3 separate regions of the Mus musculus genome follow, and all the other regions are reported to be linked to region 1. The links are microRNA targets in miRTarBase. Many come from high-throughput screens and were not tested one by one. Region 1 holds a microRNA gene; each other region holds the end of a gene's coding sequence.
What was found. Region 1 holds the annotated microRNA mmu-miR-30b-5p (UGUAAACAUCCUACACUCAGCU, at 1,208-1,229, shown strand). A microRNA usually pairs through its seed, bases 2 to 8, with sites in the 3' UTR of a target mRNA and lowers its output. Matches are read on the target gene's strand: a 7mer-m8 pairs with bases 2 to 8, a 7mer-A1 pairs with bases 2 to 7 and ends in A, and an 8mer does both.

Region 2: miRTarBase lists Pgr as a target of mmu-miR-30b-5p. Seed matches in the 3' UTR shown: 7mer-A1 at 732-738.
Region 3: the mRNA of Oga is a reported target of mmu-miR-30b-5p. Seed matches in the 3' UTR shown: 7mer-m8 at 1,961-1,967.

Annotation. Positions count from the first base shown.
Region 1 is chr15:68,335,422-68,338,697 of GRCm38, reverse strand. Mir30b (microRNA 30b) reads left to right here and starts at 1,188; the gene lies at 1,188-1,283.
Region 2 is chr9:8,964,632-8,967,745 of GRCm38, forward strand. It overlaps Pgr (progesterone receptor), which reads left to right. Exons shown (of 8, transcript NM_008829.2): 8 at 352-3,114. The coding sequence ends at 507. Among named protein-coding and RNA genes, the nearest start is that of Pgr, 66 kb to the left of the region's middle.
Region 3 is chr19:45,749,564-45,752,677 of GRCm38, forward strand. Oga (O-GlcNAcase) reads right to left here. Exons shown (of 16, transcript NM_023799.4): 16 at 692-2,717. The coding sequence ends at 2,581. It overlaps Npm3 (nucleoplasmin 3), which reads right to left and starts at 2. Exons shown (of 6, transcript NM_008723.2): 1 at 1-2.

The DNA.
Region 1 (3,276 bases):
TTTGTCAGTAGTACATTATGCACACCCTGATTATTGGACAGTCACTGCTGCCAGTGCTTTAGCTTCCCAATGTACTTAGGAAAAACAGCTTTCAAATACTACTGTGCATCACAATTACAGTGAGCTTACTAAAACACAGACTGCAGGACCCCAAAAAGAGTTCCATCCCTAGTAAGTCTGGGATAGAGCTTAGGAATCTGCTTTATTTCCTAAGTTTCTATTGTTGCTCTAGAACTAAAATCCAGAGCACTCAAATTATAGGTGTGTGTCACCATGCCAAACCCTAAAGTTTGATTGCAAAAAAGGACTGGCCCACCCCAAAGAATTAAATGTGTCTACAAAAAACAGCAGGAAATCAGACAAGCAAACTGTAATTGTAGTGAAAACAGGAAAAAGCAACATGTTTAAAGGGGAGAAAGGAGTTGGAGGTGGGGATAGATTAGTTTTGAGAATGCTGCTCCAGGAAAACAGGAGATTCCTGAGGTGATGGCGTATCTTTGAAATGCCAGGAAGTTTTAGTTTGCTGACAGTGTTATATGTAATTTTATTTCCTAATTTAAGGACTTCTTCCCTGATGAAAGTATTCCAAGAGTAACTTTTAATGTTTAGTAAAGGAATTTGGTGATTTTTTTTTTTAATTAAATCAGGAACACAGAAAGGGGTAGATGTCCTTGTGCTACCCCTTGCTACCATGTTTTAAATAATGGCCCATGGTAGAGATATGGGAAAGCCATGCCTGTGGTGCAAGGACCTGGGTGTTAAGGAAGAATAGGGGATTGGTACACCGTATTGCCCATCAAATGGGCTCCTATAAATGGAGGTGCAGTTGTTTAGAGAGAGGGAAAGGGTGGAGAAAGTTGAATGCTGTCAGAACAGTAAGTTGCCTTTAGGTGGGAAAAGCTATAGAATTCCTGTGTTCTTGCCATACGTGTGTGTGTGTGTGTGTGTGTGTGTGTGAGAGAGAGAGAGAGAGAGAGAGAGAGAGAGAGAGAGAGCATGAAAGAGAGAACGATAAATGTTTGCTGTTTCTGTGGATTCTATACTTACTCTGAAGATATCTTTCAAGTTGATTTTGTCCTCATGTAGATCACTGTGCCTAATTTTTTTTTCAACAGATTCTGCAAAATTGTCTGAGCCTCAAGTAAAAAACCAAGTATAAACATAGTAAAGAGTTCTCAAGTCTCTCTCTAAGCCAAGTTTCAGTTCATGTAAACATCCTACACTCAGCTGTCATACATGCGTTGGCTGGGATGTGGATGTTTACGTCAGCTGTCTTGGAGTATCCACCAGTTAACATATTGATACATGACTTAAGTGGCATTACAGGAGTATATCACCATGCCCAGCTAAAGGGCACTTATTATAAATACTGTTTATATTTAGGTTTTCAGTAAATACTTGCTGTACTATTTAAAATAGATACTTGTTTATCTTAATATAGATGATACCAATATTTTGATTCAGAAGTAGTGTAAATCTTACATATCACTGTAATTTGTTGCTAAATAGCCTTAAGCCTAGCTTCAGGTTCTATAATAATTAAGGAAAGTATTAATTTTCCTGGTCTCCACTTCTTTGTCAGCTGAATTGCATTGTCATAGTACCTGACAGGATTGTTGATGAAGTGAGTCGATGTCAGTTGAATGTTCTTGACATACGGTAGTTATCATTATTGTTACTATTTTAAGATTTTTTAATCCATTACCCTTTTCACAGACCTGATTGGTCTAACTGCTACTTTTATATTTGTACCAGGCAGACAGGTTGATCAATGTAATAGAATTGAAGACTCAGAAATAAAACCACACACTTATGGACACTTGATATTTGAAAAAGAAGCCAAAAAATATACAGTGGAAAAAAGAAAGCATCTTCAATAAATGGTACTGGTCTAACTGGCAGTTAGTATGTAGAAAAATGAAAATAGATCCATATTTGTCACCTGGCACAAAGCTCAAGTCCAAGTGGATCAAGGACCTCAACATAAAACCAGATTCACTGACTCTAATAGAAAAGAAAGTGGGAAAGAGCCTCAAGCTCATTGGCACTGGGCTGGGGAGGTGGGGGTGGGTATTTCCTAAATAGAACTCCAATGGCTCAGACTCTAAGATCAAGAATTAATAAATGGAACGTCATGAAACTTCTCAGCTTCTGTAAGGCAAAGGATGTAGTCAGTTAATCAAATTGGCAACCTATAGATTGAGGAAAAAAATCTTCACTAACACCACATCCCATAGAGGCCTAATATCCAAAATATAGAAAGAACTCAAGAAGCAAAAACCCAAACAACCGAATCAAAAAATGGGGTATAGAGAGAGCTAAACAGAGAATTCACAACAGAAAAATCTCGAATGGCCAAGAAGTACTTTTAAAAATGTTCAAAGTCCTTAGTCATCAGGGAAATGCAAATCAAATGACCCTGAGATTATTTACACTAATCATAATGGCTAAGACCAAAAACTCAGGTGACAGCTCATGTTGGCAAGGATGTGGAGAAAGAGGAACAATCCTCCATTGCTGGTGGAATTGCAAACTGGTACAACCATTTTGAATATCAATCTGGAGGTTTCTCAGAAAATTGGAAATAGATCTTTCTGAATACCCAGCTATACCACTCTTGGGCTTATACCCAAAAGGTGCCCCACTATACCACATGGGCACTTGCTCCACTATGTTCATAGCAACCTTATCTGTGATAGCTAGAAGCTGGAAACAACCCAGATGCACCACAACTGAAGAATGGATACAGAAAATGTGGGTCATTTACACAATTGAATATTATTTAGCTATTAGCAAGGACATCATGAGTTTTGCAGGTAAATGTATAGAACTAGAAAATACTCTGACTGAGAGAACCTAGACCCCAAAGGACATGCATGATATGTACTCACTAATAAGTGGATATTAGCCAAAAAAAAGTACAGAATACCCAGAATACAATCCATAGAGAAGGTTAACAAGCAGAAGGGCCCATGAGGACACTCACTTGGGAGGGAGAAGAAAGCCATCAAGGGAAGCAAAGGGAGGGAGGAGGGATCTGGGGAGGGGAGGGGAAAGGGGGAACATGATCAGATATAGGGGTGGTAGAAACAGGAGAGAAGCCCTGAGGGCCAGCAGAATAAATGGAGATATGCAACCTTGAGGGGGGGAGTGGGGGGGGGAACCCTCTAGAAAGTAGCAGAGACCTGGGAGGTGAGATACTCTCAGAACTTAAAAGGAGGGACCTTAGATGAAATGTCCAACAGTGGGGAGAGGGAACTTGTAGAGTCTACCTCT
Region 2 (3,114 bases), not on the chromosome of region 1:
CAGAAGAACTGGGTTCAGGTCTCAGGACATACATATATGGTGGCTCGCAAGCATCTGTAATTCCAATTCGAGTGGCTCTGATGCCATCTGCTGGCTACTATGGGCAGTTCATTCAAGGGATGCATGTCTACACACAAGACAAAAATAAGTAAACACCATACTATCATCATGCTCCCTTATGTATATAAACCATTTCCACATTACCCTGGAGCATGGAGAGAGTTATTTGCATTCTGGTAAGAAGAAGCATCTAGATAGGTACTTACAGCATTAGAAAAATGTTATCATATTTGCACAGTGTGTGATTGTATTGTTTGTCTTTCATTTTCTACCCACGTGTTGAACTAACAGCTTGTGAAACAGCTCCACCTGTACTGCTTGAATACATTCATCCAATCCCGGACACTGGCTGTGGAATTTCCGGAAATGATGTCTGAAGTTATTGCTGCCCAGTTGCCCAAGATCCTGGCGGGCATGGTGAAGCCGCTCCTCTTTCACAAAAAGTGATGACTTTTCTTTGTTTTCTTTGTGAAAATTGAATCTTGTGGTGTGCCATCTTTTTCTCAGTCAGGATGGTCAGGTCATGTGTCTTTATAATGCCTTTCTGATAGCCTTACATGTATGCACTATCACACTGTAAAGTTAGGAGAAAACCAATGACATTCTGACTTTCTTTTGTAATGTCTAAGCAGAGTTTTTTTTTAAGTGTTGTGTGCACCCATATTTTAAGAGTTTACATGGTTTTTAAAAAATGACTAAAATTGATTGTACGAGTAAACTATATTTCACCCATTATTTCAAACTTTTCAGATGAGTGTAATCAACTTTTTCATCTGACAGATCTCCATGAGAAGGGAAGAAACACCCCTCCCTACCTTTAATTACAACAGGCTACTACACAGGCTATGGCTATGTAGTTCCTTTGGTCTCCATGCTTATATTTCCAAAAATGACTCTTAAAATGGCAGTCAAAATGTGATGTGCAATAGATTTTCAGAGGGCTTTTAGTGAAAAACAAAACAAAACAAACAACAACAACAACAAAACAGAGATGAAATGGGTTGATGTTTTTAACTCTAGGCAAACTGTGTTCAGGGTGCCTGCCTGATAACAGATTGATGACAGAGTTAATGGCAGCTATACAGTTGCTGTGACATTATTGAGGGCAGGTTTAGGGGGAGGATGTCTTTAAATAAGACCTGTGAATAGACAGAAATTGTGAGATCTGTTTTCTCATTGGAATTCCTGCGGTTGGCTGACCTTACAAAGTCGGTCTCCATTGGTAGTTCCATGTCCTTGCTTTTAAAAATGATATGCAGCATTTCTCTTGACAAATGTTTCTTTGGCCATATAGTCTTATTGAAATTTACCAAAGAAGACGGGGGGGGGGGGAGGAGGGAGAAAGGCAAGGGTGGGAGATAAAGACAATTTCTTTCTTGGGGATAGTGTTTTTCTCTAGGAAAATGTATAGAGCGAATCAGCGAATCTCAGGTGGAAATTATTTTTAGTGCCTCTAAATCTGAGAGATGCTTTAGAAATAGACAAGTCTCAGTGGAAAGTTTTGAGTGCCTATGACCCAATTCTAAGTGAGATACTTCAGGAAATCCTAGATACTTGCTTAAAAATCACACAACCAGGTACAACACAACAGATAAAACACAGTTCCGTTTGTCATTTCTACTTAAAATATTCCTTTGAAAGACAAATAATAGTTCTTTTCTAAGATGAGTCACTGGAGATATATTAATTTAAAAAATAACTCAAACATATAAACATACACCATTATGGTATATACATAAATAGTGAGTTCTTTAGCACATTTGGAAAAGGGATTAAAGTGGAGTCTAATCAGAACCCGTGACTTGTGCTCCCTTCACGCATGTGGAAATCATAATGGCTTTCCTGCACAGCAGTACCTTTATTAGAGCAGTCCGAGTTTTCCCCAAGTACTGCAATGGTCAGCACTAGTAAATAGATGCTCTTCCTATTGGTCTACATGCCTCCTACAATGTGTCTGAAATGCATTATGTTCTTTACTGGTGCTTGGCTCTTCGTAATCTCCATACACACAAGCATACTTCATCTTTCAGGCCAAAATGAGATCAGATTCCTTGGGCTATATCCTAAGAGTTATTTTTTTAATTCCTCAACTTACCCTGCTGCCATTATGTTCCTGCTATGCCAATCTTTACGTAAGAAAAAGAAAGAAAGCAATTTTCTACCAGAACTTGACTCCAGACTCTTGCATGTGTTGACCTTCAAGATCTGCTTTATCACTCCTGTAAAGTCTTTCTCAGTCTCTCATACTGTGATTTGACCCCTCATCTGTTTCCAAGAAGTTGTTTAAATTACATTAGTATGTAGCTGCACCATTCTAATGGTCCACAGGTCTAGGGCTCGTGCTAAGGAAAGACCATAGTGTTTTGTGACAGAGTTGACTGTGACATTCGTCCTGCTGAGGGTCTTCTGAGTGACATTGATAAACCTCTTCTTGTGTCTTTATTATTCCTTTTATCTGCAACTTTGTTTTTCTTCATTTCCAAGCTATATTTTCCCCATCCTGTGGTAACTTGCCTTTTTTGACTACGTCATGGGAGCACATTTTATATGCAATTAGAAGAAAACGGTCCATTTCCTGTTCTGAGCTGAATGAATGGAATATTAATTCCTTCCCTATAAAAGATTCTATAAACTCTGACATGTTTTATATTGCAAACCTCAATGTAAAAATTTCCCTGCATTTTTTTTATTTTCTTCAACAAATATTTTTGAGTGTGTAATGTGAGCACAAGAAATCATATGAATAAGCTTTAATAGAAACTGGAGCTAAAGGAAATTGTATATAACTCAAGAAGTTATAGCCCAGGAGTTGTACAAATATGTCTGGTAAGTGCAGGGTCACTAGATATTTGTAGTATATAAACTACATCGTTAAGGTTTAATATGTGCAAGGCATTACAGCATTACTTATATGCAACTTGAATGAGATAAGTGCTAAAAAATAGTATTTTAAAATTAATAATTATTTAATCTAGGCAACTGCCAGCAATTAATTTGCTTTAAACTTTTGTGTATATTTGTATATTGGAAAAGTTTTAATACCATTTTTCAAAA
Region 3 (3,114 bases), not on the chromosome of region 1:
CGGCCGTGAGCGCCCCGCCCCCCGCCTCAGCCAGTTCCGGTCCCGCCCATTAAAGGAGCCGCGCTCGCCACACGAAGCAGGGAGGAGCAGTCGTCGCCTCTTCCACGAGGACAGGTAACAAGGCCCCAGAAGAAATCTCCACGAGGGCTTAAAGTTAGCGTCCACTCACTGAAGCCCCTTCTTCCAACCCGGGGATATATACATACAGATGTTAGTGTAAACCTTTCGTATCTCCTTTTTCAGTAAACTTGGGGTACGGAGCAGCCATTTTTACTCACACCCCCCCCCCCCCCCCCCCCCCCCCCGCTTCCTGATCATGCTGGAGGCTTGACAGCCAAGACCTAAACTCAGATGTGGAGATCAACTACTGTTCATAGTACAGCCTCCTCTTTAGGCGACCCACCCCCCCCCTCCACCACCAAAATTCCTTTATCTAAGGAAATGAAGCCATGTTCCAGTGAGGAACTCTGTGACACCCCCCCCAACTTCACACAAATTTTACCTGTAGTAAACAGAGCAACTTACTTAAAAACAAAAACAAATGTACTTTTCTGAGAAAAATCTTTGCTGTGGAAGGCAGGAGGGCAGGGCTGTCTTCAATCCAGCCTACACTGAAATAGCTTCGGATACCTAAGGGATCAAGAGATGTGAGGGAAAAAAAGGGAGAACCCAGAGAAAAAGCAGCACAGCACACATTCACTTCAAGTTTTATTGTGCCTCTTGCATGGTCTGCAGATAGGTTTACAGTTCGTTTTCTATAGGAACTGAGCTGTGATCTAAACAATGAAATGTTATTCCAACATTAATAAATATTCATAACCATGGAAGATGGCAGAGCACTTTATCCTACAGCAATGACAGTAGAGACCTGGACATGTTTTCACTTATGTCCAGAAGATCATCCCATGTGATTATTGAAAGCCAACATTAAACAAAAAGCAACTTGTTCAATTCCTGATTCCGTATGAAACTCTGAAACGCTCTGAATAAAACCTTGTAATTCTCACTGAGGCATGAGATGGATTCAGAACGCTAAGGAACATTAAACGGTCTTAATATCTAGTAACAATTTTGCCCCTCACCCCAGCCTTCAAAACCAACCTTGACTTAGGTTTCACAGCACATCCTATCGCAAAGGTTCGCACCCTAAGGAGGCGGCACATTTCAGCACACTCTTGGGCCTCTGGTTCTTGGGCCTCCCTGGGTCCACTCTATATAGTGCTAAAAGACTACCTCACAAGCTCACACTGGAGTTCTAGAAAGGAAAATGTTTCAAGCTCCCTCTTCTCTCTCCCCCCTCAGCTCAAAGTTCAAAAGCTATGTAGAACTGGAGGAAAGCAAGGTAACAAAAGACTGTTGAAAATCTATGACGTTACTAGATAGCTAGCCATGATTAAAGAATAATAATCCTGCAGACACTATGTGCCAGCTTCATGCTCAAAACCCTTAAATTCACCAAATCTAAATTAAAATAACATGAAGTTTTCAGAATCTCTGATTAAAAGAAAAAGTATACATATTGTTAACATATACTTATTCTTTCTTTTAAAAATTAGATACAAACATGCAAGAATTAAGGACTGATTCGATTAAACCAGTAGTTAACAGGTCTTTGCGATTAAATGACAACTGTTCAAGGACAAAGGAGACCACTGGTCAGTCCCCTTACCCTTACTTAACAATGTCAGAACATTTCACATGCGGATCTGCTATTAAGGTTAATTCCCAGGAGTTACTGCACTTCCCAACATATCTGAGTCATAAGAAGTTAGGTGCTCATACCCTAAATAGTCATGGCCTAACCCTATGTGGGAGGCACTTCAAAAATAAAAACTATTAGGAAGAAAAGGACAGATGTAAAGGAAATCTACCATTCACTGATTTACATAATTCAAAGTGCCATCCTAAACCAACACCTTTCATTTTCAAAGGAAAAAAAAACCCCATAATATATAAAACAGTAAACAAAGAACAGTCGGGTTACAGCTAATCTATATACAGAGATTTACAAGTTTGTCAATTTAGGCCTTGGCCACAAACAAATGCACATTTGTCCCTAACAAAGCTCAATGGCCTGAACCAACAGTTACAGGAGACAGTTGCCCAGAACTTTACAAAAAGCAGAAAAATTGCCCAAATTGAAACTCACTAAATTTCTCATTCCAGCCATGTCTCCAAAGAACAGAGACATTTCATCCAGCACACCAAGGAGAGTAAAGAGAGTGAACTTCGTTGCTCTTAGGTGAGAAATGCAACCACACTGGATGCAGAAAATAGTGCTGACTCCATTTATTTAAGAATCTCTCCCTAGAGAGCCCCACGTAAGAGGCCCTGACCCTAACACAAGACCCAAAGAGGAGCACACCACAAGCTGCACGGGGTATGCAGCAATACTATCTTCTCCCAACCAGTGAGCATCTGAGAAGGTGATGGGTGCGCTTTACAGTCATCTTTGTTTCCAAGTCAACTGGCTGATCTGCTGCCGCTCCAGCTCCAGACACTGAACTGTGTGAAGACCTCAACCACCAACCACAAGGCGGAGTTAAGGGACTTTTGGACAGTTCACAGTACCAACAAGTGTCACAGGCTTCGACCAAGTATAACCACATCCTTTGGAAATCCTTCCATTTTTGCAATTTCAAAACAGCCTAACTTGCTGTAAAATTCCAGAATCCTTTTATCATCTGGTCTTACTTCACAGAAAGCCCCCCGGGAGCCTAGAAATAAAACAAATGTTTTAAATGTAAGTAAGTGTATCATATAGATTTGAACCGTGTTTAATACAGGTAACAGCTTTATCTATTCCTAAATTTCATATTATAACTTTTATTAACGGGGTACATAATGGGGAACTCTGAGCTATATTCGCAGACTGACAACTTTTTAAAGTCTTTTTTGTTTTTGCTTTTGAGAAAGGGTCTCACTCTATAGTCCTGGCTGGCCTAGAACTCACTAAATCAGGTTGACTTTGATTTAAAAAATACCTAACTTTAAAAATATATTTAAGATTTATTTTATATATATGAGTACAGTGTAGCTGTCCTCAGACACACCACAAGAGGGCATCAGACCCCATTACAGATGGTTGTGAGCCACCATGTAGTTGCTGGGAAC